Stegostoma tigrinum: one gene and its partner. The protein of the gene in region 2 interacts with the protein of the main gene of each other region in a pairwise test. Links are inferred from orthologs where the notes say so. Each region holds a gene or a part of one and is shown on either strand. Other genes may lie near its edges.

The links.
Region 1: the proteins of abtb1 (region 2) and elongation factor 1-alpha 2 interact in binary tests that used the Homo sapiens proteins (3 or more experiments, as listed by UniProt). The two-hybrid records come from large-scale screens. The link is inferred for Stegostoma tigrinum from reciprocal best matches to the Homo sapiens genes ABTB1 and EEF1A2.

What each region holds. Positions count from the first base shown.
Region 1 is NC_081372.1:3,117,010-3,131,908, reverse strand, and holds the start of elongation factor 1-alpha 2, read right to left. Parts: upstream 6,413-14,899; 5' UTR 6,279-6,412; intron 5,627-6,278; 5' UTR 5,605-5,626; coding exon 5,461-5,604; intron 636-5,460; coding exon 456-635; intron 1-455. UniProt on the Homo sapiens protein: Translation elongation factor that catalyzes the GTP-dependent binding of aminoacyl-tRNA (aa-tRNA) to the A-site of ribosomes during the elongation phase of protein synthesis.
Region 2 is NC_081364.1:5,668,966-5,684,807, forward strand, and holds the start of abtb1 (ankyrin repeat and BTB/POZ domain-containing protein 1), read right to left. Parts: upstream 6,434-15,842; 5' UTR 6,266-6,433; coding exon 6,210-6,265; intron 1-6,209. UniProt on the Homo sapiens protein: May act as a mediator of the PTEN growth-suppressive signaling pathway. May play a role in developmental processes.

The DNA of each region.
Region 1 (14,899 bases), on a different chromosome or scaffold from region 2:
ACTGGGATAGACTGTGATGCCCACTTTGAGCAAAAAGCCTGGTTGCCCTCTCTAACTCTGTTTGCAGAGACCTGTCCCTCTGGTGATGTTCAGAATGTTGACAGCACTTTTAGAATCACAGCCAGAACCACCATGAAATGTACAAATTCTCCACGCTAACCAATTGCTATTCCCTACTCCTTTCATCAATACATTGCTGGCTGTATCCTCACCTCTCTATCCCTCTTTCTTCCTTCAAGATGTTCTTTGAAGGTGTCCTCTTTGGCCCAAGTCTTTAACCACCTTTCCTAATGTTTTATTTTATACCTCAGTGCTAATTACTTTTTCTGATTATGCTGAAATGAAGTGTGTTGGAACAGTTGACCAGAGGGGATACAAATTAGGAACCAGAGGAATAAAATGCTTCAGTTCCAGGTTTGGAAATCTATTTTGGCCTCTTCCAGCATTTTACTGACCTGAGAGGTTCCAGTGATCATGTTCTTAATGAAGTCCCTGTGGCCAGGAGCATCAATGATGGTGATGTAGTACTTTGGTGTCTCAAACTTCCACAGAGAGATGTCGATAGTGATACCTCGCTCACGCTCAGCCTTCAGCTTGTCCAGGACCCAGGCATATTTGAAGGAACCTTTACCCATCTGAGCAAGAGGAGAGATCAGAGCAGGTTCTCCTTCTCAATGTTCGGTATCAATTAGACAACTGTATTACAAGGATCATCAAACATCTACCACAGAATCACTACCTTTTAAAACACCGTGGAAATCAATCTGAAGATTACAACAGAAGTATTTACAAATCATTACTTATATAGATTGCAGAGCACAGAGGAAGGCCATTCAGCCTCTCCTACCTGTACAAGCTCTCTGCAAGAGCTACTCAATTCGTTCCAATGCTCTTCTGTCGCCCCATAGCCCTGAATGTTCTTCCATTTGCAATTATTTAACAAGTTCCCTTTCAGGATATTGAAGCTTATTGTAATCTATATGTGATGATGATGTTTAACTTGAATCAAGTTCCTGAACAACAGACTCATGGCTGGATGTTGATTTTTGTCATTTGGTTATGTTCCTATGGAACATGCTGGAACATTTTCCTACCCTGAAGGTGCAATATTAATTTGTTTGCTGTTGTTGGCTACAGGAACCAGTGACTACGAGAAGCTCCAGGTCCTCCCTCCAAAATGTCACAGAATCCACACAGTGTGGAAGCAGGTCATTCAGCCCAGCGACTCCACACCTAGACCCACCTGATCATTGTAACCTTGTATTTCCATTGCCAATCCAATCCACCTAACCTACACATCTTTCAACTATGGGAGGAAACCCATGCAGACATGGGGAGAATGTGTAAACTTGGCACAGGCAGTCACCCAAAGGTGGGGTTGAACCCAGGTCCCTGGTACAGCTGGGCAGTAGTGCTAACCAGTGAGCCAAGACACTATCTGCCAGTGACAGCAACACCTAGGCATCTATTACCCTCACTAACCCTAAGGGTAGAGTGGGAAGTGAGGTGCCTGCTTGAATATCACCATTTCGTAGGGTAGTCAAGATTTAAAAACTTTGCCGTGGGTCTGGAGTCACATGTAGGCCAGACCAGGTAAGGATAGCAGATTCCCTTCCCTAAGGGACAGTCGTGACACAGATAGGTTGTTATGACAACAGACAGTGGTTTCATGGTCACTATTACAACTGCTCTCTCCTCCAGATTTTTATTGGGTTCATACTTCCCCATCTGCCATGGCAGGATTCAACCCCAGGTCCCCAGAACATTAATCCGAGTCTCTGGTTTGCTGGTCCAGTGAAAACCCCACTACACCACTGGCACTACCTGTCCAGTGATGTAACCTTTCTGGTACTGATGTGACAGAGATGGTTACAGAAATGGGGAGGAATGAAGCCATGGAGGGGTTTGAATACAAGGATAAGAATTTTACATTCGAGGTGATCCTGGACTCAAGCTAAATCACTGTGGGTTGTATTATTGTAGAGCTGGCTCACTTGTTTTAACAATAGGCTGCCTGTGTGTGGGACCACCCATGTGGCATTTTGAAGTGACTGTCCTGCTGCCTGATCTGAATGGGAGCTTCCAGCTAACTGCAAGGTCACATACCTTAATACCAATGTTTGAGGGCAGCTCAGCAAGCACAAGAGGGACCAGTGTGTGCAGGGAACATGGTGGGAGTTAGGACAAGGGCAGCAGAGTTTTAAACAAGCCGAAGTTTGGGGTTAGGTGACCAACCAGGACAGCATTGAATAATTGAATAATAACACCAAGGAGTGTAGATGCTAAGGATACCACTAGCACCGTGTCTCAGTGGTTAGCCATGCTGCCTCACAGCGCCAGGGGTCCAGATTCAATCCCACTCTCAGGGGGCTGCACATTCTCCCTGTGTCTGTGCAGATTTCCTCCGGGTGCTTCAGTTTCTTCCTACAAACCAAAGATGTGTGGGTTCAGTAGATTAGTCGTGGGGGATGTGGAGTTATAGGGATATGGTAGGCTGAGTCTGAATGACACACTCTTTGGAGGGTCAGAGCAGACCTAATGGTGCATGGCCACCTCCTACACTGCAGGGATTCCAAGAGGTAAGGCAAAATCAACTCCTGGGGAAATCTCAGCAGCTCCAAGTTAACATTTTGAGTCCAGTTGCCTTTCAAAGGTCCATTAGCTCTGTTTCTCTGTCCATAGATGGTGCCAGACTTGCTGAGTTTCTCCAGCTATTTCTGTTTCAGGTTGGAATAATCAATGCAGATGTAACAGACACAGTGGGCAGTTTTGGCTGAGGCAGGGGTCAGGGTGATGGAGTGGTGGCAACAGGTAGACCTGAGGCAGGATACATGATCAGCAATTCACATCAGGATCACAGGGAGTCCCTGAGATTGTTAGCACTTGGGTAGGGCCGGGGAACAGAGGGTGCCCCAAAGCTTCCAGCGTGTTCAACCATTTTCAAAGCACATTCTCTGCATCTAAAGCATCTCCCATGAGACGTTTAAAGAGTATAAAAATGGAAAGGGGGTGAAGACAGAGAGCAGAATTGCTGAATTTGCTGCAGAATCACACTGGAAATTAAAAGCAAAATAAAAATTGATGCTGATGGTGACTAAGGCCCCGCAATCACAGATAATTCCCAAAAAATACCAGCTTTGAAAAAAACAATAGCAAAAAAGGCACACAAGTAAAATTAAGTCATTTCTGCAGCCATCATATACAAATCACTGGTATATTCCGAATGCCTGGAGAATTACAGCTGTTGATGGCCTGACCCATTAGTGAGTCAGCAAAGACACAGAACTTGGAATAGATCGCCACGGAAACCAAGGACATGTTGCATTTATATAGCGCTATTAATGTAATGAAGGAATCCAAGATTCATAGCAACGTTATCAAAACAATTTCATCAAACCACTGAAGGGATTATTACAACAGGTAGGTTTTAAGGAGGAAAGGGAGCTAGAGAGACAGAGCTGTACAGCGAGATTTCCAGAGGTCACCAAAGGCAAGGGACTAAAATGAGGATGTACTAATTTGGAGGTGTACAGCAATTTCAGAGGTTAATGGGGCTGGAGGAGATTACAAAGACAGAAGGAGCGAGGCATAGAAAAGGGTTTAAAAAGGAGAGTGAGAAATTTGTGAATTGAGTTGCTGCTGTGGGGTGAGAGGCAATGTGGGTCAGCAGACGGTGAGCAAAAGGGATTTGGCATGAGCACAACAGCCAGGAAAACATCACACAGTCAGGCCTGGAGGTCACAAAGTGTAACATTATAAACAGAAGCCATTTCAAAGGATGGCACCCATGTTAGATGCTGGCTCATTTCCATCAATTTGTACCTTGCAAATTACATGATGTGACCAGTCACATGAGAAAACTGCTAATTGTTATCCAATATGCTGGAATGGTTGGCGTTCCAATCATTTTCCATGACAGGCTTCCGACTCTGATTGGACAGAGTCCTGGAGATGTCTGTATTTGAACCTGTACAACCAACCCCCCCACCCGATGCCAAAGCCAACGATACCATCTTCAATCATTTTAGAATCAATGAAGAAATTGGAAAGCTGAGCATCTTTTTAAAAAACATCAGACTTTTCTGCTGGTGGCTCACCCAGTGACCTGGACGTTAATTCAATCCCAGCAAGGTCCAGAATCAAGCCTGGAGGGTTGACAACAAATAGACAAGCATCAAAATGGTAAGGACATAGCTCATTTTCTTAAAAAGTGGTATTTGACTTCCATCTGCAAACAAATCCTGTTCCAGAAAATTAAAATGAAAGGAAGGAATCTTTAAATATATAAATATACTGTAAAAAAAAAGGAAGTAATCTTAACGCTTACTGTACTGGATTGAGGGACCGAGTGGGCTATTTTTGCTCCTAATTCTGGTTTTGTTCTGTATGTTCAGGGGTGTGGGCCAAGCTCTATGAACGTGCACTGGGACCATTCTGGAAATGTGACTGTGCCAGAAGCAATGATAGGAAAATGCTGGGAATTGTTTGGGTACTGATGGGAACATCTTAGGAAGCTGAGTGGGATAAGTTCTGGGAAGCTGCTGGAATCAGGGCTGGAATGGAGCTGGGACTGGGATAGAAAATTGGCGACGGAGCTGGAACAGAGCTGGGAAGCTGTTCAGATGCAGCTGGGAAGCTTCTGGGACAGAGCTGGGTGCAGCTGGGATGGAGCTGGGGAGCTGCTGGGGGAAGGTAGGGTTAATTTTGGAAGCTGCTGGGGTGAAGTCAGGATACATTTGAAATGCTGCTAGGATGGACCTGGGAAGCTACTGAGAAGGGGCGGGGAACCTGTTGGGGTGGAGCTGTGACAAATTTAGGATGCTGCTGGCTTGGAACTGGGAAGCTGCTGGCATGGAGCTGGGATAAATTTGGGATGCTGCTGGGATGGAGCTGGGGAGCTGCTGGGACAGAGCTGGGTGCAGCTGCAATGGAGTGGGAAGCTGCTGGGATGGAGCTGGGATAGATTTGGAATGCTTCTGGGATGGACCTGGGATGCTAATGGGAAGGAGCAGGGAACCTGTTGGTGTGGAGCTGGGATAAGTTTAGGATGCTGCTTGGCATGGAGCTAGGAAGCTGCTGGAATGGAGTTGGAATAAATTTGGGATGCTGCTGGGATGGAGCTGGGGAACTGCTGGGGTGGAGGTGGGATTAATTTGGGATGCTGCTGGGATAGACCTGGGAAGCTACTGGGAAGGAGAGGGGAGCCTGTTGGGGTGGAGCTGGGATAAATTTAGGATGCTGCTGGCATGGAACTGGGAAGCTGTTGGCATGGAGCTGGGATAAATTTAGGATGAAGTTGGGAAGCTGCTGGAATAAATTTGGGGCGCAGCTGATATGGAGCTGGGAAGATGCTGGGATGGAGCCGGGATTAGATTATATGGGATGGAGCTGGGAAGGTGCTGGAATAAATTTGGGGTGCTGCTGGGATGGACCTGGGAAGCTGCTGGAGCTCTGCGTTACCTCTGCAGCCTCCTTCTCGAATTTTTCGATGGTCCTCTTGTCGATGCCACCACATTTGTAGATGAGGTGCCCAGTGGTGGTGGATTTACCGGAGTCGACATGGCCAATGACAACGATATTGATGTGGGTTTTCTCTTTGCCCATGGCTGGGGCTGGGGACGGATCACTGCAGCAAACAGACACAGACACACAAAGGGTGGGGGGTGTGGAGAGAGAGAGAGAGAGAGAGAGAGAGGATTCAGGGAGAAGGTAATCTCTGAGTCACACTGGAAGTGAAAAGGTCAAACCCCGTTCCCGTTGCATGGGTCTGTTAAAGAGAGCGCTGCTGTCATACACCTCCAATGGGGCTTGCCCAGATCGAGGGGCAATATCCAGAGGATCCTGGCAGGTGCCGGGTTTCAGTTCATGGAGATTGCTTCAAATAGAACTCACTCTCAATCCAGCCTTCTGCCTCAATGTAATTATCTTTCCCAATCTCCCAATTCCATCCTCTTAAAACAATTCTTTGTCTGGAATGATGACATTATTAGATTGTCTCGCTTTTATTTCCCATCTAATCTCCTCTCCCTGCGTGTTGAAGGAAAGCTAGTCTTATTCCTGAAATTAATCTCTCTGTCTCTGTCCTATCTATCTATTCCTCCCTCCCTGTCTATCTCTCTCCCTCCTTCCATTCTACTTAATCCTGTTCCATGTTCGCTCTGTCACACAGTCCCCCGTTTGTAGACCTGCACCCTCTTTAGTGACAGCAGACCTCCCCCCCGCCTCCGGTCGGTAACACAGCTCTCCCCGGGGTGCGTGCCTCTCCTGCCCGCTCTTACCTGCGCTGCTGCCGGGGAGAGCCGCCGCTGCCCCTCGCTGCTTTTTATTGCGGCGGGCGATAGGCGGTGTCTCAGCGAAAGAGCAGCTGCGCAAGTACGAACACACACCGCCCCCACCTCCCTCCCTGCCTTCTCCCTCCCTCCTACAGCAATGCGGTAAAGAATATCCAGCAAAATAACACACTGCGGAGAGAGAGATAGAGGGATTAACACAGAGAGGGGGAGGATGGAGAGATAAACAGAGGAGGGGAGGGAGGAGAAAGGGATAAACACAGGGAGACAGAAAGAGGGAGGGAGGATGGAGAGATAAACAGAGAGGAGGGATGGAGGATAAAGGGATAAACACGGAGAGAGAGGAGGAAAGAGCGATGAACAGAAGGAGACGGAGAGAGGGAAGGAAAGAGGGGGAGGAGGATGGAGCGATATCCAGAGGGAGAGGACAGGATAGAGAGATAATCACAGGGAGACAGAGAGAGGGAGGGAGGATAGAGGAATAAACAGAGGGGGAGGGAGGCCGGAAAGAGAGATAAAAAGAGGGAGAGATAGAGGAAGGGAGGATAGAGAGATTAACTGGGAGAGAGGGAGGGAGGTTAGAGAGAAATAAACAAAGGGAGACAGACAAGGAGGGAGGAAAGAAGATAAACAGGAGAAAAGAGAGGGGGAGGCAGGATAGAGGGATAACAGAGAAAAGGGAAGGAGGATACAGAGATTAACAGGAGAGAGAGGGTAGGAGGATAGAGAGATAAACAGAGGGAGACAGCGGAGGAGCTGAGGGAACAAGAGGCGAAGGAAAGTGAGGAGGACAGGAGAGAAAGGCGAAGAAGCGACAGTTGGGGAAAGAAAGATTCCGGGGTAAAATATACCCTTTATATCACAACAAATAAAATACCCCAGATGTTGCAGCTTAATACCCATCCCTATGTGTATTGCAGAGAATGGCAGCTTCTCTGTAAGTTACAGAGAGCAGCAGCTCTTAGGTATAGTATGGAGATTGGCAACATCTGAATATATTAGAGAAAGGTAAAGGTTTTGTGTGTTGAACAGAATAACACGGCGTGTGTTATAGAGGATGGGCCTGAGTGTATAATAACCGGGGTACCATCTCTTAAGTACACTACAGAAAATAGCAAACCGTGTATCACATAGAGTTGTATCAGAGATAATGGGAACTGCAGATGCTGGAGAATCCAAGATAACAAAGTGTGGAGCTGGATGAACACAGCAGGCCCAGCAGCATCTCAGGAGCACAAAACTGAGATGCTGCTTGGCCTGCTGTGTTCATCCAGCTCCACACTTTGTTATCTATAACATAGAGTTGGCAACCTTACGGTACATTATAGAGAATTCCAGGCCTTGTGTATATTATACAGCGTAGTAGGCTTCTTCCGTGCTACAGACAATAGTATCAGCGGTGGGTCATTGTAGAGAACAGCCTCTGTGCAGACTAACGGGTGTAGGAGCCTCTTTGTTTCGCGTCGCGTAAAGCATTTCCTGCATGTATTAGAGAGAATAGCTGTTCTTTTCCATATCCTAGAGGATTACATTCCCTACGTATATCATAGAGCGCAACAGCCCCTGCAAAGACGATAGAATACATGGAGCTCGTGCTCGATCTAGGAAATTAACTCAGATTGCGAAAGAAACTCAGCAGGTCTGGCAGTTTCTGTGGAGCGAGGAACAGAGTTAACATTTCGAGTTTGATGTGACGCTAAAGACAAGTCAAACTGGACTCGAAACGTTAACTCGATTTCTCTGGCCGCAGATGTTGTCAGACGTGCCGAGTTTCTCCAGCAATTTCTGTTTGCTTCAGATTTTGAGAACCTGTGCTATGTTGCTTTCATGTGGGTGTGTAATGTAGGAAATTACAGCTCCTGTGCACATTGTAGTAAGTAGCAGCCCTTCTATACTGTAAAGAATAACAATCTCTGTGTGTGTCCTCCAGAATCAGAGAAGGCGACAGCGTAGTTGCAGCGTTAATGTTCCCTGGGCTAGTTCTCCAGAACCCCAGGGCAAGTGTTCTTGGGGCGTGGGTTTGAATTCCACCGCGCCAGATGGTGAAATTTGAATTAGATTTTCAAAAATAGAACATAGAAAAATCTGGAAGTTAAAAACTATCTGGTGGAAACCATGTGATCACAGTTCTATTGTCAGACAAACCGACTTAGTTCACAAATGTCCTTACCCGGTCTGGTCTCCCCGAGACTCCAGGCCTACAGCAAAGTGGTTCATTCTTAACTGGTAAGTAGGGATGGGTGACAAAACCAGGGTCAACCATGTTATATGAACAAGTTTTTTTAATAAAAAGAAAGCAATTAGTGTGTGTCTTGTATATGATGTACAAAACGCTAGTGCAGCCTCATTTGGAATATCGCGTGCAGTTCTGGTCGCCCCCATTACAGGAAGGATGTGAAAGCATTGGAAAAGGTACAGAGGAGATTTCCCAGGATGTTGCCTGGTCTGAAGCGCAGGCCCTATGAAGAAAGGCTGAAGGACTTGGGTCTGCTCTCATTGGAGAGAAAGAGGCTAAGAGGGGATTTAATAGAGACATACAAGATGATCAGAGGATTAGATAGGGTGGGCAGTGAGAGTCTTTTTCCGAGGATGATGATGTCAGCTTGTAAAAGGGGGCATAGCTACAAATTGAGGGGTGATAGATTTAAGACAGATGTCAGAGGCAGGTTCTTTACTCAGAGAGTGGTAAGGGCGTGGAACGCCCTGCCTGCCAATGTAGTTAACTCAGCCACATTCGGGGCGGCACGGTGGCTCAGCGGTTAGCACTGCAGCCTCACAGCACCAGGGACCCAGGTTCGATTCCAGCCTCAGGTAACTGTCTGTGTGGAGTTTGCACATTCTCCCTGTGTCTGCATGGGTTTCCTCCGGGTGCTCCGGTTTCCTCCCACAGTCCAAAGATGTGCAGGCTAGGTGGGTTGGCCATGCTAAATTGCCCACAGTGTTCAGAGGTGTGTGTGGGTTATAGGGGGATGGGTCTGGGTGGGATGCTGCAAGGGGCGGTGTGGACTTGTTGGGCCGAAGGGCCTGTTTCCACACTGTAGGGAATCTAATCTAATTTAATCAGGGGCATTTAAACAGTCCTTGGATAAGCATCTGGATAATGATAGGATAGTGTAGGGGGGTGGGGCTTAGATTAGTTCACAGGTCGGCGCAACATCGAAGGCCCAAGGGCCTGTTCTGCACTGCATTGTTCTATGTTCTATGATAGCAATTCATGTGGAACTCCATGTTTCTCTGTGAATAATCAAGTTCTCTTTTTGCATTGATTCACAGGAGTGGGTTTCACTGTCCATTTATTGCCCACCCCTAATTGCCCAGAGAACAGTTAAGAGTCAGCCACATTGCTGTAGGCCTGGAGTCACATATAGGTGAGACCAGGTTAGGATGGCAGATTTCTTTCCCTAAAGAATGTTAATGGCCCCGAAGGAAATTCCAGGCATTCATGGGCCTCATGATGACTTAATGGTCGTCATTAGACTCTTACTTCCAGACATTTTTTTAATATTGAATTCAAATTCCACTGTATCTGCTTTGATGAGCCCAGGACCCCAGAACATTACCTGAGTCTCTAGATTAACAGTGCAGTGACAATACCATCAGGCCATCACCTCTCTCAAAATTCATTGTTGAACAATGATTCTATGATTATTTTTCTCAACATCCCCATCGCAAAACTGCTTCCCTCTCCACCACGGTAGTAGCACAGGTTAATGGGAGGTTTAATAAAGATGAGACAATTTAAGAGACTAAACAGGGAGAAAATGTTTCCATCGGTAAAAAGATTTGCAACAGGAGTACTAAGATTTAAGACAATCAACAAAAGGGTAGTAAAAGGAGATTCAATAATAAGTTTTAAAAAGGAATTGGATAAATATTTGACAAAGAAAAAAGAGGATGAGTTATGGGAAATGAGCTGATGAGAAACACCCATGAGATCATCCTTTCCAAGAGCTAGGATAGCCATCATGGATCAAATGGCCTCTTTCATAGAATCCCTACAGTGTGGAAACAAGCCATTCAGCCCAAACTGCCCCTCCAAAGAGCACCCCACACACTACCCTTGAGCTGTAGCCCTGTACTACTCAGCAATGATCCACCTAATTTACAAATCCTTGGATGCAACAGGCAATTTATCATGACCAATACCACCTACCCTGCACATCATTGGACTGTGGGAGGAAACTGGAGCACCCGGAGGAAACCCAGGTAAACACAGGGAGGATGTGCAAGCTCCACACAGACAGTCCCCTGAGGGTGGAATTGAACCCAGGCCCCTCAATACTGTGAGGCAGCAGTGCTAACCACTGAGCCACCGTGCTGCCTTTCTGCGCTCTTTGGTGTCAATACTTTCACACAAATGCCAAGCATCAAGATATGACCTGCAAGGAGTCAGTGCTGAGAAACAACTGAGAAACAGGCATTGAAAAATACAAATAAATTGTCAGCCTAGGCCTGGCATGGATCTGGATGGCCCACACTGCACGACACACCAAGTGTAGGGGATCTGGTTGGTCCACACTGCACAACACACCAAGTGTAGGGGATCTGGTTGGTCCACACTGCAGGACACACCAAGTGTAGGGGATCTGGTTGGTCCACACTGCACAACACACCAAGTGTAGGGGATCTGGTTGGTCCACACTGCACAACACACCAAGTGTAGGGGATCTGGTTGGTCCACACTGCACGACACACCAAGTGTAGGGGATCTGGTTGGTCCACACTGCAGGACACACCAAGTGTAGGGGATCTGGTTGGTCCACACTGCACAACACACCAAGTGTAGGGGATCTGGTTGGTCCACACTGCACAACACACCAAGCATGGGGATCAAATTGGCCTGAACTTCAAGTGGTTAGAATTGACCAATCAGCAATGTTCAAAGCAAACCATTGGATTATATACAATATGCAGTCAGGAAAATACAGATTATGCCTTATGGTACTGAAATAAAAAGCTGCTCCAGCTGAGTTTCAAGTGAAATCTGTCCAGAATGTTTCTTTCATTATTTTCTTGGACTGCTGTTCCTCGTAATATGCACAAGAAATGACATTATTTCTAATACACAGGGAGAGCTAAACCCTGTGATGTTCAAAGGGGCTGTTGAACTCTACAAATGTATGCGACATTCAATGCACTAATAGACACAGGGACTGCTACCCTCTGCACTATATACATATGTCTATATTCTCTATGAAATACACAGAGACTGCTACTCTACAATATACCCAGAGGTTGCTATTCTCTATAATATGTTCTGAGTCTGCTATTTTCAAAACACACATAGGGGCTGCATTCTTTATAATGCATGTTGGGATTTGTTATCTTCTGTAATAAAAACTGGGGCTGTTATTCTCTATAATATACACAGGGTGTGCTATTCTCCATAGTGTGCCCTGGGGCTGTTTTTATGCTGGAAACCCCGGAATTCCCTCCCTAATAGCATTATGGGTCAACCTACAGCTGGAGGACTGCAGCGGTTCAAGAAGGCAGCTCACCCCCACCTTCTCAAGGGGCAGCTAGGGACATGTAATAAATACTGGGCCAGCCAGCGATAACCACATCCCGCAGAGATGAATAGCAAAAACATGCACAAAGTTAGGCATTATCCATCATGTAGGTGACAGCATAAAAGTACAACAGGATATTGATAGACTAAGTGAATCGGCAAAATTGTAGCAGATGGAGTTCAAAGCGTGAAGGAGGTTATACATTTTGGAGAAAAAAAGGATAGACTGGGGTAGTTTCTGGGTGGTTTGAGGTTTAATGTAGTTGGATGCCCAAAGATACTTGGGGATTCCGGTGCAGAGATCTTTAAAATGTTACAAACAGGTGCAGAAAATCATCAAGAAATCTAATGGAATCCGGAGGACTGGAATATAAGGAAGCAGAAGTTATGCTGCAGTTACACAAAACCCTGGATAGACCCCAATTGGAGCACTGTGAGCAGATCTGGGCACTGCTCCTTAGGGAGGATATACTGGCCTTGGAGGGAGTGCAATGTAGCTTTACGAGAATTGATTGGGTCTCAGGGGTTAGGTTACGAGGAGAGATTACACAAACCCAGCCTGCTTTCTGTAGAATTTAGAAGGCTAAGGGTTGATCTGATCGAAACCTTCAATCTACTACGAGGAAAAGACAGGATAGATAAAGATAAGCTATTTCCACTGGTTGGGAATTCTAGAACTCGGGGCATGAACTGAGAATTGGGGCCAGACTGTTCAGGAGAGTTTTTTGATTATTATTCATTCACAGGATGAGGGTTTCACTGGCCAAGCTGCTATTTATTGCCCATCCCAGAGGACAGTTATGAGCCAATTACATTGCTGTGGGTCTGGAGTCACATGTGGGCCAGAGCAGGTCGGGATAGCAGTTTGCTTCCTTAAAGGACTTTCGTGAACCAGATGGGGTTTTCCTGACCATTGGCAATGGATTCATGGTCATCATTCAACTCCTAATTCCAGATTTTTATCAGATCCAAATTCCATCATCTGCTGTGGCAGGATTTGAACCTGGGTGCCCAGAATATTTCCTGTGTTTCTGGATTAACAAATCAGTGACAATACCACTAGGCCATCGCCTCCCATTGGAAGCACTGCTACGGGACAAAGGGCACTAGGTGATTGGAACTCTCTTCCACAAACAGCGGACGACGCAGGATTAGTTGTTAATTCAGGAACGGAGATAGATGAGCTTTTGTTAAGCAAAGGTGCTGAGGGATATGGTCCAATGGCAGGAATATGGAATTAGGCCACAAGTCAGTCATAATCTCATTGAATGGTGGAACAGGCTCAAAGGGCTGAATGGCCTAGTCCTGTTCACATGCTCCTTTTGTCTGGTGAGGAGAGGTTGGACAGACTTGGGGGGGCTTGTTTGCACTGGTGTTTGAAGGGTAGTGAGTGACTGGATTGAAGTATCTAAGATCCTGCTGGTCTTGACAAGGTGGCTGTGGGAAGGATGTTTCCTTTGGGGGGGGCAGTGCAGAACCAGAGGGCAAGGTTTTATACAGGGATGAGGTCATTTTAGTTTTCTCTGAGGGTCATGAGTCTTTGGAACCTTCCATCTCCAATGTGGGCAGGAGCAAAGTCTTTGAATATTTTAAGGCTGTGGGAGAGAGATTCTTGTTGAACAAGAGGATGAAACAGTATTGGGGTCAGACAGGAATGTGGAGTCATCAGATCAGTCACAATCTTATTGAATAGCAGAGAAAGCTCAAGGGGCTGAAGGGCCTAGTCTTGTTCCTAACTTAGATGTTTTTATAAATTTGCAAGGAAATCTATTGGGGATAGGTGTTTCAAACAGCCAGCACAGAGACAGGGAGCTGAATGGTCTCCTTCAGTCCTCTGAGGTTTTATAATTAAACATTTTCAGGGAGAAATCATCCACAATGGAGAAGAATATCCCAGAAAGGGAATGAGAAGTGGCTCTGAACAGTTCAGCTGCTGTACCGAAAACAGCCCTTCACTGTGTGACCTCTCCCTAGGATTTGTGAATGATGGAAATAGCTGGACTGAGGTGTGTGTCAGAATGGAGCAAATGACTTGGTATCAGAGCTTCACATTACTCTGTGCACATGATCACTGAGCGACTGAAATCTAGGACAAGCAGCTGCCTGAAACCTGACACTGTCGATCCAATCATCTCCTGCTACTAGCAAATAATCCTCTGTACTTCACGGGAACAGAGTGACTTGAGCTTTGCTTTCTGGACCTGAGCAGGTTTGCAATTGTTAGCAATTCTAAAGCGCCCTTAATTCTTCATTTTCAAATCCCTCATATTGTCTCACTCCTCTTTAATTCCCTCCTGTTCTCTGAAACCTCTCTGCTCCTGTAATTCTTGTCTCGTGTGATTCTCACTCTGCGGCTGAAGGTTCTGCTGAGTCTGGAAGCACTGAGGGCCCACCTTCTATCCGCTTCAGAGTCTGAAAACCTGCTCTTTTGATCATAATCCATAATATCTCCTCATGTATCTCAATCTGAGCTGGCTCTTTGAAGCAGTTAAAATTTATAAAAACATATAAGTTAAGAGCAGCAGGGGGCCATTCAGCCCCTCACATCTGTTCCACCATTCAATGGGATAATGGCCGATTGTGGCCTAACTCCATGTATCTGCCTTTGGACCATATCGCTCAGTACCTTTGTTTAACAAAAAAGTATCTACCTCAGTTTCTAAATTAACAACTGATCTAGCATCCGCTGCTGTTTGTGGAAGAGAATTCCAAACCTCTCCCATCCTGTGTGGGTGTAAGTGCTCCCTAACATCTTTCCTGAATGGCCTGGGTGTAATTCTCGGACTATACTCCCTAGTTCTAGAATTCCCAACCAGTGGAAATGTCTTATCTTTATCTATCCTGTCTTTTCCTGTTAATATCTTGAAGACTTTGATCAAGTCACGCTTTAAAACTTCTAAATTCTTGTGATAACAGGCCTAATTTGTTCAATATCTCCTCATAACTTAACTCCTATAGTTTAATCAAAACTATCCCTGAAACATAAAAACATAGGAGCTAGGAGCAGGCGTGGGCCTTTCAGCCCTTCGAGCCTGCTCTGTTATTCGATACTATCGTGGTTGATCCTCTATCTCAGTGCCATATTCCTGCTTTCTCCTCA
Region 2 (15,842 bases):
GTCACCTGTGCTACATAAGCACATTTTCTCCAGAAAGCCAAGATTTTAAAAGCCTGCAGCTAGAAACAAGAGGAGAATTCACAAACAGTTAAATTCAGACCACTATAGCTTCAAGCTTTTAGACTGCCAGTAACGTGACAGCCTGCAATAAAGGTACAAGAGGTACGGGTGACATTCTAAGCTGGGAACAAAAACAGAAATTGCTGGAAAAGCTTAGAAGTGAAGAATGGGTCTGGGTGGGATGCACTGAGGTTCAGTGTGGAATTGTTGGGCTAAAGGGCCTGTTTCCACACTGTAGGGATCTAAAAAATACACATGTTTTGCAACAGCAGTAGATAAAGCAAAAGGCCTAAACATAACAATTGCTTGTGATATGTCTGTAATAACAGTGCAATAACGGTCTTGTTTCTACTACATTTTAATTAATTGTCTTAAGTTCTCAAAGATTGATGTGTTTTGTACAAAACAGAAGCTGGTGCTACATGGAGGGGTACAGACAAAGAACACGAGAAAGTATCATCCTCATATACCCTCCTTATCTCAAAGCTGCCCCACCCTCCCCCTAGTCATTGATACTTCTATTAAGAGGAAAAGGTTCTCCCCATCTATCTTATACACCTCAGAACTTTGTATAAATCAATCAGAAAGACCTTCAGCCTTTTCTGCTATTAGGAAAACAGCCCCAGCCTATCTAGTCTCTCTTCATAGCTGAATCACCCCATTCCGTGCTGGATCCTGGTGAATTTCTTCTGTACTCTCTCAAGTGCAACCACTTCCTTCCTCGTGTGGCAACCAGAAGTGCATACAGAACTTTAGCAGTGGCCTTCTACATTATGTACAGCTCCATCATAACCTCCTTGCTCTTGTCTTCAATGCATTGGCTAATAAAGGCAACTCTCCAATAAGCCTTCTTGAATATCTTATCAATCTGTCCTGCTGCCTTCAAGAACTTACGGACAGGAAAACCAAAGTCACTTTGATTCTCTGTACTTCCTAGGAACCTATCATTCGTGAGATTATCTTCTATAACTATATGATGATGATGATATTGGAGACTGCTGGCCGTACCTTGCTAATCCACAGGGTCAGCATTGTTGGCAGGCCAGAGAATTTACTAAACCCAGGAGGACAAACATATTCTATGCACAAACACTTTAAAGACCACACCTCCACTTGTATCAATGGATGAATGATTTTCCAATTGGGCACTCAAAAGACAAAGCACACCAAAAGTAAAAAATATGAATAAAAATTGATGCATAACCCTTAGAGGGAAAATTGGCAGTATTGCGGATGCTAGGCCAGAAGGGTTGCTGGACTAGACAGCGTTGGTTAGGAAGCTACAACCTGTACTTGCATACTCCAAGTCTTCAGCAGAACATTTACACCTGCAATCTCAATCTCTTCGGTTACATCTAACTGACAGCCACAACACTGCACTTTGTCCAAGGCCATTATAGCCTTCCAAAGATGTGCTGTCCAGAACTATTCACAGTAACTTCTGGTGAGATCTAATCAGGGCTATGTGTAGGTGAAGTACATCTTCTACCCCTAGCATTCTTCCTTTCAAGATATCATGACTATCAGTCCTTCAGTCTTATGGTTATATTCAGTCCCTGTTCATGATATTTTAATTATCTTTGTGCCTCAACTCCTAAGTTTCTTTGAAAGTGCACTATTTATAACTTTCCATAATTGGAAGACACTGCACTCCATACCTTTTTGCAGTCCTAAGCAGATGATTACACATTTGCCTACCTTGAAATCCATCTGCAACCATTTTGTGCAGTCACTTAATCAATTAAGCTTCTTCCCAGCCCTTCAGAGGCACAGACATCTGCTCAGATGTAGTTTCACAGGTGTCAGCAGTCCGCGGCACATTGTTTAGCTTGGGTGGCAATGCAACTGAAATATCTGTATTCCCTGGAAACTACATGCAGTACATTCTGGTACATCTTCGAACAATTTTGTGCTTTTTGCCTTTTGCCTTCTTTTTATGCCATCTCTTTGAGGCTCTGAGGCAGCAACAGCTGCCATGGAACTTTATCATGGTTACAGAGTTATGCCCCTGCTCTCTCATTTCCTGTTGAGAGTTTGTGCCTAATTTTGAAAATTCAAATTGGGCTCACAGTGGGAAAAAGTTTAGGAATCACTATTCTATGTGAAAAATTATTCTATATTAAAAGAGTTTGTAATTAAGGATAGAATGATTAACCATACTGAAAATGTTTCGTTGACTAGAAAGAACCAGCTTGGATTTGTTTTTTTAAGTTAACCTATTGTTTTCTAATCAACCACTTGAGATGTTATTACACACGTCTGGAGCAGGTGGGACTTGAAGCCAGGTCTCTTGGTCCAGGGGTAGGGGCAGTGTCACTGTGTCACAGGAGGGCCCTCAGCATGGATTTGTAAAGAATAGGAAGCCTTGCCTGATTGGTTGGATAGACTTTAACCAGCTGTTCAAAAAAATGTAATAAATATTATTTATTTGGGCTTCCAAAAGGCATTCACTGAAGTCCCGCATGAGAAATAGTTAGCTAGAGTTGGAGCTCATGCAATTTAAGTCAAATTACTGACCTGTTTGAGAAGTTGGCTGATGTGCAGGAAAGAGAGATGTTGACTCTGGTATTATGACCAATGATGGCCCACTGGAATCTGTGTTGCCTCATCTGTTTACTATGTTTCATAAATATTAAATCAAGGTATTGCATAAATGGATATCAGTTTGCTGATGACACACAGGTGGAATTTCAAGTGGTATAGATAGAAACATAACTACTACTAATTCAGAGAGGTGGGGCATAACTCTGTAACCATGATAAAGCTCTATGGCAGCTGTTGCTGCCTCAGAGCCTCAAAGAGATGGCATAAAAAAAGGCAAAAAGTGCAAAATTGTTCGAAGATGTACCAGGATGTACGGCATGTAGTTTCCAGGGAATACAGATATTTCAGTATTTCAGTTGCATTGCCACCTAAGCTAAACAATGTGCCAAGGACTGCTGACACCTGTGAAACCACATCCAAGCAGATGTCCCTCACACCCCGTCCCCGCCACAACCGCCCCAAGAGGATCCCCCTCGTTCTCAGACACCACCCCACCAACCTCCGGATACAACACATCATCCTCCGACACTTCCGCCATTTACATCCTCCGACACTTCCGCCATTTACAATCCGACCCCACCACCCAAGACATTTTTCCATCCCCACCCTTGTCTGCTTTCCAGAGAGACCACTCTCTCCATGACTCCCTTGTTCACTCCACACTGCCCTCCAACCCCACCACACCCGGCACCTTCCCCTGCAACCGCAGGAAATGCTACACTTGCCCCCACACCTCCTCCCTCACCCCTATCCCAGGCCCCAAGATGACTTTCCATATTAAGCAGGGATTCACCTGCACATCTGCCAATGTGGTATACTGTATCCATTGTACCCGGTGTGGCTTCCTCTACGTTGGGGAAACCAAGCGGAGGCTTGGGGACCATTCTGCAGAACACCCCCGCTCGCTTCGCAATAAACAACTGCACCTCCTAGTCGCAAACCATTTCCACTCCCCCTCACATTCTTTAGATGACATGTCCATCATGGGCCTCCTGCAGTGCCACAATGATGCCACCCGAAAGTTGCAGGAACAGCAACTCATATTCCGCTTGGGAACCCTGCAGCCCAATGGTATCAATGTGGACTTCACCAGCTTCAAAATCTCCCCTTCCCCCACTGCATCCCAAAACCAGCCCAGTTCGTCCCCTCCCACCAGAGCACCACACAACCAGCCCAGCTCTTCCCCTCCACGCACTGCATCCCAAAACCAGTCCAGCCTGTCTCTGCCTCCCTAACCTGTTCTTCCTCTCACCCATCCCTTCCTCCCACCTCAAGCCGCACCTCCATCTCCTACCTACTAACCTCATCCCACCTCCTTGACCTGTCCGTCTTCCCTGGACTGACCTATCCCCTCCCTACCTCCCCACCAACACTCTCCTCTCCACCTATCTTCTTTTCTCTCCGTCTTCGGTCCGCCTCCCCCTCTCTCCCTATTTATTCCAGAACTTTCACCCTATCCCCCTCTCTGATGAAGGGTCTAGGCCCAAAATGTCAGCTTTTGTGCTCTTGAGATGCTGCTCGGCCGGCTGTGTTCATCCAGCTTCACACTTTATTATCTCAGATCTAGAATTGTTGTTTGCCTCACATATGACAAGTCCTTCATCCCCAGGATCATTCTTGTGAATTTTCTCTGCAACCCCACCCCACCATATCCTTCCATAGATTTGATTTGTTGTTCTCACATGTACTAAAATAACAGTGAAAAGTGTTGTTTTGTGCATTCTACAGGCAGATCGTACCGTACAAAGTGAATCAGATAGTAGAAGTGCCAGGTCAGAAGGCTGAATTGAAAGACTTCTGAACTGCATCAAACAGCCTGTCCCTTCAGCTGTTTGCAACAAGTAAGGTACTGCCCACATCCAACCAGTCCCCGCTTCTAAACTTTACGACGGTGTGTAACATTAAATATGAACTGCAACTGGACAATGTTTACACAATAATTCTGAACATGCAAGAATTATGCTAGTGACCAACTTAAGACGGTCAGTGGGGCTTTCACTGTGGTGCACTTGCATGTATGTACTGGAAGCTTTGCACACTAATACACAATGCAGACAGAAAATCCATGTACATACACTACACCTGTACAGGTTGAGGTTACCATGAAGGACTCACCTCAATGTCTTTCCTGAGATGTGGTGTACTTCAAGTTATACCACCACAACTCTCCTCTGTTTAATAATAGAGAGGAGTGCTTTGGTCCAGTAGAACTATGGCAGCTTTATCTTTTCCTTCATACCAATGTCAAGAGCTGTTGTTGCTCCTGCACTAATACTAAGGAATCTTACAATAATAAATTCAGAATTGGCAGGTCATTCCACTAGGTCTACTTTCCAGCCCATCTCCTCTCCTCCCACCTCCATTCTGCCTCACTGCCATCCCTACTCCACTTCTTGCAACCTTCTCTCTCTCTCCATTTCTCCTGCTTTTGCTCCCTTCCTGCTCCAATTCTCCCTTCCCTTCTACTTCCCCTCCCCTCACCTTTCTCCCTTCCCTCTATCCCTCCATTGAACAATCCCATCTCTTAAGTTACCTCCCCACCTCTCCTCTCCAACACCCCCATTCCCGAGTCATTGTTGTTCATCATTTACATATACAATGAGGATGAGAGTATAGCAGGCATGGTTATTGAGTTCTATGGATGACACCAAAATTGGTGGTATAGTGGATGGTGAAGAAGGTTATCAGTGGACCAAGGAATTGCAGCTAGAGTTTAATTTAGATGAATGAGAAGTGATGCATTTTGGTAAGAAAAACCAGGGCAGAAACCTAGGGGTGCAGGTACATAGTTCCTTGAAAGTGACATCACAGATAGACAGGATGGTGAAGGCAGCGGCTGGCACACTTGCCTTCATCGGTCAGAACACCGCGTACAGGCGTTAGGGCATCGTGTTACCACCATACAAGTCACTGGTAAGACCACATTTGGAGTACTGTGTGCAATTCTGGTCACACAGTTTTAAGGATGTTTTTGAAGTGGAAAAGGTGTAAAAATGATTTATAAGGAAGTTACCGAGACTAGAGGGTTTAAGTTATAAGGAGAGGCTCAGGCTTTTTTAACCCAGAATTTAGGAGAGCTTATAAAAGTTTATAAAACCATCAGGAGCATAAAATAAGGTGAATAGCCAAGGTCTTTTCCCAAGGTAGGTTCAGGGTGAGAAGAAAGCTTTATAAGAGACCTAAGACAACTTATTCACACAGTGTGCTGGTGTATGGAATGAGCTGCCAGAGGAAGTGGTAGAGATGAGTCGAAGTGCAACATTTAAAAGACATTTGAACACGTACATGGACGAGAAAGATTTAGAAGAATGTCTGCCAAACACAGGCAAATGGGACTAGTTCAGTTTGGGAAACCTGGTCGGCACAGGCAAGTTGGACAGAAGGGAAAGCTTCTGTACTGTGTCACTCCACTACTCTCTCCATCACACCCCCATTCCTCCACCCACCCCCTTACTGCCATCACCCCATTTCCCCACCCACCCCTCTCCTCTACTCCCCCCATCTCCCTCTCCCCCAATTCCCCCACTTTCCCTCACATTTTCCCCCTCACCCTCAGGGTTTTACCCCACACTAACCGACTGCACTTGGGCCTCAGCCGCACTCACCGAACTCTGGAGAGTTCCCCCTTCCTGCAGCTGGTGAATAACTCGCTCGTGTCCATCTCTCTCCTTCGCTGAAGCTGGGAATCGATACATCGACTCCGTGACGCCGGAGCCCAGTGTAGTTTTACTATTTATTATTTAAAGCTCGCTCAGTGAGCTGCTCTCCACAGGCGGTGTTTACGACCGTTTCGAATGTAAACACGACCGACTGCTGTAACTGCACCTGCGCACTTTGCCCATCAGCGCGCCGCCTGCCACCCGGGAGGAGGAACAGATCCTCCCGACATTGTACAAACTGCCCATCACAGCGCCGCCTGCCGCCCGGGAGGAGGAACAGATCCTCCCGACATTGTACAAACTGCCCATCACAGCGCCGCCTGCCGCCCGGGAGGAGGAACAGATGATCCTCCCGACATTGTACAAACTGCCCATCACAGCGCCGCCTGCCACCCGGGAGGAGGAACAGATCCTCCCGACATTGTACAAACTGCCCATCAGCGCGCCGCCTGCCGCCCGGGAGGAGGAACAGATCCTCCCGACATTGGACAAACTGCCCATCACAGCGCCGCCTGCCGCCCGGGAGGAGGAACAGATCCTCCCGACATTGTACAAACTGCCCATCAGCGCGCCGCCTGCCGCCCGGGAGGAGGAACAGATCCTCCCGACATTGGACAAACTGCCCATCACAGCGCCGCCTGCCGCCCGGGAGGAGGAACAGATCCTCCCGACATTGGACAAACTGCCCATCAGCGCGCCGCCTGCCGCCCGGGAGGAGGAACAGATGATCCTCCCGACATTGTACAAACTGCCCATCACAGCGCCGCCTGCCGCACGGGAGGAGGAGCAGATCCTCCAGACATTGTACAAACTGCCCATCACAGCGCCGCCTGCCGCCCGGGAGGAGGAACAGATCCTCCCGGCATTGTACAAACTGCCCATTCGAGCGCCGCCTGCCGCACGGGAGGAGGAACAGATCCTCCAGACATTGTACAAACTGCCCATCACAGCGCCGCCTGCCGCCCGGGAGGAGGAACAGATGATCCTCCCGACATTGTACAAACTGCCCATCACAGCGCCGCCTGCCGCCCGGGAGGAGGAACAGATCCTCCCGACATTGTACAAACTGCCCATCAGAGCGCCGCCTGCTGGTCGGCAGGAGGTAACCGTCCTCCCGACATTGTACAAACTGCCCATCAGAGCGCCGCCTGCTGGTCGGCAGGAGGTAACCGTCCTCCCGACTTTGTACAAACTGCCCGTCAGAGCACCGCCTGCTGGTCGGGAGGAGGTAACGGTCCTCCCGACATTGTACAAACTGACTGGAAGCCAAGAGCCCATGGGATCCAAGGAAATTTAGCAAATTGGGTCCCCATTTGGCTGAGTGTCATGATGCAGAGAATGATGGTTGACTGGGTTTCTTTTTGTGACTGGAAATCTGTGTCTGTTTAGGTCCACAGGGGAGAATGTTGGCCCTAGCGAGTTTCGAGAAGATTTGTAGCTCAGGTTGAGGTTCTGGATGTGAGATTGCTCGCTGAGCTGGAAGGTTAGTTTTCAGACGTTTCGTCACCATTCTAGGTAACATCATCAGTGAGCCTCCGACGAAGCGCTGGTGTTATGTCCCGCTTTCTATTTATCTGATTAGGTTTCCTTGGGTTGGTGATGTCATTTCCTGCCATCCATCACCAACGCAGGAAATGACAATATGGATGGGCTGGCCTGTGACAAATGGAAATCAATCTGGATACATGTGATACACTTGGGCAAGAAAATGAAGACAAAAGAAATGAATGGGAAGCACCATGGATGAAGAGACCTTGGTGTGTGTATACACTGAACCCTTAAGGCCTGGTGGATAAAGTGGTGAAGAACACACACGGGACAATTTATTTTCTTTTTTTATTTAACTTCTTTTTCTAATCAACCTGTTCTGAGGAGTTATTACTCGTGTCTGGAGCAGGTGGGACTCAACCTGGGCCTCTTGGGCCAGGGGTAGGGACATTACCACTACACCACAAGATGGCCCCCAAATACCATTCACTTTCAACAACAAGCAGAGACAGTCTACTTTGCCTGGACACAAAGGCGGCACTGCTGTTTCATTGAGACAGAGTTTAAGAGCAGTGTGGTGGTAATGGAACTGTATAAGACATTGGTTAGGCCACAGCTAGAATATTGTGTACAATCCACCTGATAGGAAATGTGCAAATGCCCTGGAGAGGGCGCAGAAGAGATTTACCAGAAAACAAAAAATTGCGGGATGATGGCAATTTGAAACCAAAATAGAAATTTCTGGAGAAACTTAGCAGGTCTGGCAGCATCTGTGGTGAGAAAGCAGAGTAGATGTTTAAGGTCCAGTGACTCTTTTTCAGGACTATTGAACGATCAGACAATGAAAGTGGAATGGGAGGCAGGAGAGATCTGAGACAGCACGAGGTGATGCAGATGGAGAGAGAGGTCGAGAGTTCGCATACGGCAATGAATTGCACTGAGGTAGGTTTCAGGATGGACGTACCCAGAAGAGGTGTCACATGAACTAAACACGAAAACAAAACAAAGAATTACGCAGAGATAGCAGGAACTGCCGATGCTGGAAAATCTGAGATAACAAGATGTAGAGCTGGATGAACACAGCAGGCCAAGCAGCATCAGAGGAGCAGGAAAGGCTGACGTTTCGGGCCTAGACCCTTCTTCAGAAATCTTTCTGAAGGCTGACATTTCGGGCCTAGGAAAGTTCCTGCCATTTGTTTCTAATGTGATTATTTACTGTTCTTGCTTTGTCTTCAAGATTTTCTTTGTAAACAGCTATGATATTTTAATTTCCCCCAACTTACCCAAATAAAACTTGTGCTTGTGACCTTAATACATCCTTATTAACAGATCTGAAATCTAATTTATAGATCTTCCACTTTAATCAAAAATCATCTTCAGTTAGACAGTGTGCTTTAACGTTTAAATTTCATATTTTGTCTTAATTCTGCTTCATGATGACCTCCATCAGACCATAAGATATAGGAGTAGAATTAGGCCAATCAGCCCATCGTTTCTGCTCCAGCAATCGATCATTGTTGATTATATTTCTTAACCCCATTCTCCTGCCTTCTTCCCATAACTCTTGACCTCCTTACTAATCAAGAACCTGTCAACCTCTGTCTTAAATACACCCAATGGCTCAGCCTCCACAACCATCTGCAGTGATGAGTACCACAGATTCACCACCCTCTGGCTGAAGAAATTGCCTCGGTAAGATTTATTTCTTGTCATGTGTATCTTGTTACAAAATGTGGTGAAAAGTGGTGTGCAGCATCACTACACTCTGGCGCCATCTTAAAATGCAGAAAAATAAAACAAATCAGAATATAAAGGCAGAAAAATGTGACAGTGAAAGAAGTGCCCACCTTACAGTCCTTTTTATTAAGTGCTCCATCGTGGGCCAGGTGGCCAGGCATGAGGCCCCTTCTCTGCGCCCACCCCCTGCTAGAATAAAAGTCATCATTCTTTGGTGCCATCCTGCCTCCATCAATGCCCAAACCGCTATGGGTCCTTGGTGGACCTTGCCAATGCAGACGCCACCAAAGTGGCTGGGAAGTGCAACAGCCCCACCAAGTACTGCCACCACAAGCCCGCTTTGGGGCTCACCTCGCCAGTGCAGCTGCTGCTAGGTCTGGTAGTGGGCCCAAACTCGCCTCTGCCCATCCCGCCATGAGTCTGTGCCGATGATGCCTTTGCCAAGTCTGAACCCTTCACCAAGCAGTAAGTAAAGTAAAATAGAAGTGAACTATAAAAGGAAGAGAGGTAAAAAAAGGAAACAAAGAAAAGCAGACAAGTCCTGGGCTCAGAAGCTCTCCACTACCTGAATGTTGAGTTCCCGCTTTTGATCTCCTTATAACCATGATTCCCTTATGGCTATAAGATATACTCATTTACCTCAATTTTTCCTATTAGTTCATCCATCTTATCCTGAATGCTTCAAGCATTAAGATACAAAGCCTTCATCTTTGTTCTATTATCAAATTTCCCCACAACTATATCGTTCCTCGATGCAATATGACATTCTCACTTCCTTTTATCTTCTGGTAACAATCATCCCCAACCCCATCATTATAATCCTACTTTCTCCTTTACGTTTGATTTTATAATTTTCCATGCAACTGAACCAATGGACGACATGTCCATCATGGGCCTCCTGCAGTGCCACAATGAAGCCACCCGTAGGTTGCAGGAACAGCAACTCATATTCCGCTTGGGAACCCTGCAGCCCAATGGTATCAATGTGGACTTCACCAGCTTCAAAATCTCCCCTCCCCCCAGTGCATCCCTAAAACCAGCCCGGCTCGGCCCCGCCTCCCTAACCTGTCCTTCCTCACACCTATCCCCTCCTCCCACCTCAAGCCGCACCTCCATTTCCTACCTACTAACCTTATCCTGCCCCCTTGACCTGTCCATCTTCCCCGGACTGACCTATCCCCTCCCTACCTTCCCACCCATACTCTCCTCTGCACCTATCTTCTCCTCTATCCATCTTCAGTCTGCCTCCCCCTCTCCCCCTATTTGTATCAAAATCCTCTCCCCATCCCCCTTTTCTGATGAAGGGTCTCAGCCTAAAACGTCAGCTTTTGTGCTCCTAAGATGCTGCTTAGCCTACTGTGTTAACCCAACCCCACACTTTGTTATCTTCAACTCTCCACACTCTATTTAGTTTGAAGCCTAATCACAACCGTAGTTATAAGATTTACCAGGACTCCAGTGCAAGCATGATGCAGGTGGAGCTTGTACCATCAGAACAGTTCAGTATTGCTGCTAATGTCCCATGAAATCAAACCTGAAGGGTCTAGGCCCAAAACGTCAGCTTTCCTGCTCCTCTGATGCTGCTTGGCCTACTGTGTTCATCCAGCTCTACGTCTTGTTATCTCAGATTCTCCAGCATCTGCAGTTCCTACAATCTCTGAAACTGTTTCTCCCACATCTATTTTTGAGTTACACGTTTACCTCTATATGTTGACCCTGTGACAGTTTAGCTCATGGCTCAAGTGGTAACCTAAAGATCATTACCTTTTTGGTTCTGCTTTTTCATTCAGCACCTACCTGCTCATATTCCCTCAGCAGAACCTCTTTCCTCTTTCTCTACCTGTATTGCTGGCCCTACATGGACTACAACCATCTAGATCTTTCCCCTCCCACTCCAAGTTCCTCTGCAACCCAGATGCAATATCCTGAACCTGGGCTGGAGTAACAGCCATCAATTTGTCTTAACACGGGGATGCAATCTTAACAAGATGTAGTTTATGTCATGATAATGATTCTCTACAAAGTTACCTAAGTGAATTAGACATCGTTATTAAGAGGATTGAGAGGGCCCCGTTGTAGTGCAGAAGTAATGTCCCTACTCCTGGACCTGGAGGCCCTGGTTCAGGTCCTACCTGCTCCAGAAGTATATAATAACATCTCAGAACAAGTTAATTAGAAAAAAATTCATATAATTAAAAAAAGCTTGGAAGACATGGATGATTCATTTGTCCCCTTTGAGTTTCAGAGCATAATTGCCTGGTTTTCCCAGCTAACCCTTGCATTTTGAGGGATTTTGTCAAAAGCTGTGTTAAAACCCCTATACACCATATTTTCAGTCATCTGTGTGGCTTCCTTAAAAAAAAATCAAGTTAGTCAGAAACTGTCATCTCTTAATAAATCCATAATGCCTATCCTTGAGAAATCTCAATCTGTGCTTTTTTAAATGACAAATTATTCAGCCTGTCAGAACTGATTCCAATAATTTGCCCGCTCCTGAAGTTGAACTGACTAGCCTGTAATTATTCAGTCTGTCCCTCGCTCTATTTTTAAACGAAGGTACAACATCAGCATTGTTCCAATCCTTTGGCACCGCTTTTTATTCAGTGAGGATTAGAAACTGATTGTCTCACGTTTATATAAATTTGATAGTGTTTCCATTACACCAGCCTCTGTGTAGCCCCGACTGTATCTGTGTCCACACAGGATGTACCATGGATGAGTATCTGCACTGTGACTATACTGCAGCATTTGGAAGCAAGAAGAATGAGGTGTAAATAGAGCAATAGATTCTGCTGACACCATTGCTCTTTGTCCTAAAGTATCTTTGTACTTACCCTGGCCTCTGTATCCAGAGGTGATGATGGGAATGAAGTGCTCAGCAATGTCTGGGGCGGGGAGATGCACAGCAAACAGGGAGCCAGTGAATTAGGATGGTCAGGGATTTGGAAATCAGCAGGTCTGCATCCTGTTGTTTCTTTTGCAGTTAATCCAGCTCTAGGGATTAATCCAACATGACAGGTGATAATCCTATCAAAATCCTCTCTTCCTAATACTGTTACCTTTATTAGTCAGTGCATTGAGTGTAGGAATAGGGATGTCATGTTGCAGCTGTACAGGATGTTGGTTAGGGCCACTTTTTGACTGCTGTGTTCAGTTCTGGTCTCCCAACTGCAGGAAAGGTGTTGTTAAACTTGAAAGGATGCAGAAAAGATTTACAAGGATGTCGCCAGGTTTGGAGGGATTGAGTTATAGGGAGAGGTTGAATAGGCTGGGCTATTTTTCTTGAGACTGAGGGGTGACCATATAGAGGTTTATAAAATCATGAGGGACATGGATAGGGTGAGCAGCCAAGGTCTTTTCCTCAGGGTCAGGGAGTCCAAAACTGGAGGGCATAGGTTTAAGGTGAGAGGGGAAAGATTTAAAAGGGACCTAAGGGGCAATCTTTTCATGCAGAAGATGGTGTGTGTATGGAATGAGCTGCCAGAGGAAATGGTTGAGGCTGGTACAATTACAGCGTTTAAAAGACCTCTGGATGGATACTCGAGTAGGAAGGGCTTAGAGGGATATGGGCTAAGTGCTGGCAAATGGGACTAGATTAATTAAGGATATTTGGTTAGCGTGGGCAAGTTGGACTGAAGGATCTGTTTCCGTGCTGTACAGCTCTATGCTTCTATTTAATACTTCACACTTAACAAAAATATCTGTATTGTCCCCTCTCTGTTATGAAGACAGTCACAAAGTACATTAAGAACCATATCAACATCATCTACGTCTATACATAGGTTACCTTTTCAGACCTGCTTTTATGTTGGTTTCCTTTAGTTACCCTCTGTGCTTACTGTATTGATAAAACATCTTTGGGCTCACTATGATTTTGTTTGCAAACATTGTTTTATGCATTCTCTTTCCCGTCTTAATTTCCATTTTGATTTCAATCCTCCTCTTTCTATATTCTAGGCCCAAAACATCAGCTTTTGTGCTCCTGAGATGCTGCTTGGCCTGCTGTGTTCATCCAGCTCCACACTTTGTTATCTCGGATTCTCCAGCATCTGCAGTTCCCATCATCACTTCTGTATTCCTCTTGGTTTTCTGTATTAGAGTTCTCAGTGCAAGACATAGGCCCTACCTTATCTTAGCCCAGAATCTTCCCAACTACCAGGATGGTCTAGATTTATGGGTCCCTCTCTTTTTTACTTTTTGGGGATATGTTTACCTCGAATCTCTGGAATCTCCTTTCAATGTTTCTGGTCTGGCACTGATTTATCTTTGAGTGATTGTTTCTTGTCTACTTCGGCTGACTCAATCCTCAGTTTCCTAAAATTGGCCTGACCCAATTTAGAATTCTAACTCCTGTTCTATGTTTGTCCTTTTCCAAGATTATATTAAAAATAGTGAATTATGATTGCTACTGACAAAATGCTCTCCCACTGCCTTTTCTTCCATCTGTCCAGCTTCACCTGCTAAAACTAAATCAAAACAGCACCCCCTCTTGATGGGCATGTTGAGGGAGTGCTGCTGTTTTGAAGGATCTTCCTTTGGAATGACACATTAAACAGGGCATTATGTGACCTGAAAACAGAAACCTGCAGCAAACCACCTACATCAACAGAGCTGAGGTGGCAAGGATTGAGATCGTTACTTCAAGGAGTACCGAAAACCGACAACTTATCACGCACTGTCCCACAGTCAAGAAGGCATAATAATGCCTCTCAATCCTCGGGCAGTTTAGGAAATTGGGCATGTCCGTAAGGAGCCTCACTTTCTTTTACAGATGTACCATAGAAAGCATATTACCCAGGTGTATAACTGCGTGGTACAGCATCTGGTTTTCTTCAGTACTGGTGGACATAAAATAAAACCATTGCACCATTTGAAGAAAAGCAGGAGTCTTCTCTTCAGTGCCTTTTAATCAATCAATATCATTTGGGAGTTTTTTCTGTGTGTAATTTGCTGTCTTTCCAACGTTACAACTATTTCGAAAACACGTCTTTGCAAAACACTTTTTCCTGGCTTCATGTCATTTCAGATGCCAAATAAAAATTAGTCTTTGTTTCTTTGGATCTTTGCTGTGTCATTTCTTGTCCTCTCAGCATCCTATTGTTTATCTTGACATGATTACATTTGCCTCTAAATCATTATGTTCAATACAAGATTGTTTCCAAGTTAGTTTAATATATATATGAAAGAGAGTGACATGATTTCTGACTTACTTAGATGTATCACATTGCTCTGATGATTGTGGGTGTGAAGTATCTCAATTACAGTATTGCTGTGCTCTTTCTTTTGTGTTGGATCAGTGGGTGGTAGCAGTGCCTCTGAGTCAGAGGTTGTGAGTTCAAGTTCACCCCATGTAGGAAACTGAGCACACAATCTAGGCAGAGATTGCCACTGCGATTCAGGGGCAGTGCTGCACTGTTTGGGAGGTAACGCCCTGTGAATGTGACATTTCTAGGAGACCCCATCTGCTGTACTTTCCTGCAAATGGGTCATATGACAGTGCTTCAAAGTGCAGAATGGAAATTATCGCTTGTATTCTGGCCAATATTTATCCCTCAATCAGCACCACTGAAAAAATAGATATCATCTGTTAATGACGTGTTGGCACTTGACAGAATCCCTACAGAGCAGGGAGCTGGCCATCAGCCCACTGAGTCCACACTGACTGTCTGAAGAGCATCCCACCCACCACCCTATCCCTGTATTTTCCATGGCTAATCCACCTAGCCTGCACATCTTTCGACTGTAGGAGGAAACTGGAGCACCTGGAGGAAGCCCATGCAGACACAGGGAGAGTGTGAAAACTGCGCGCCTGAGGCAGAAATTAAACGCCGGTGCCTGGCACTGTGAGGCAACAATGTTAATCACTATGCCGTGCTGGTATTTGTGGAACCTTGCTGTGTGCAATCTGACTGCAGCATTTCCTCCAGTACAGTGGTGATACAATACCAGTGAAGTATCTTTGGGGTGTTCTGAGATGATGAAAGAAATGCAAAATGTTCTCGTATACGAACTGCAATGATTCCTTCAGGGGACATTGGAGTCACTGGCAAGTCAAGCATTTCTTTAACTGCCCTTGAACTGAGCGGTGATTTCGGAGTCAGCCTCATTGCTGTGAGTCTCACATTGTCAAATGCTACACGCTTGTGGATTATCAAAAAATAGATAGCTATTTAAGAACCAAGATTGCATCTTTTCATTACTTTCTGTATGTTTAATTATGGACTGAAATGAATTTTTTAAAAGAAGTTTAGAATCCAAGGATTGCTGGAGGATTACTGTATATATTTCAAAGCAAGTAGCCCGATACTGTTTATGCAGATGCTGATTCAAGCAGAATTGAACGAATTCTTTGTG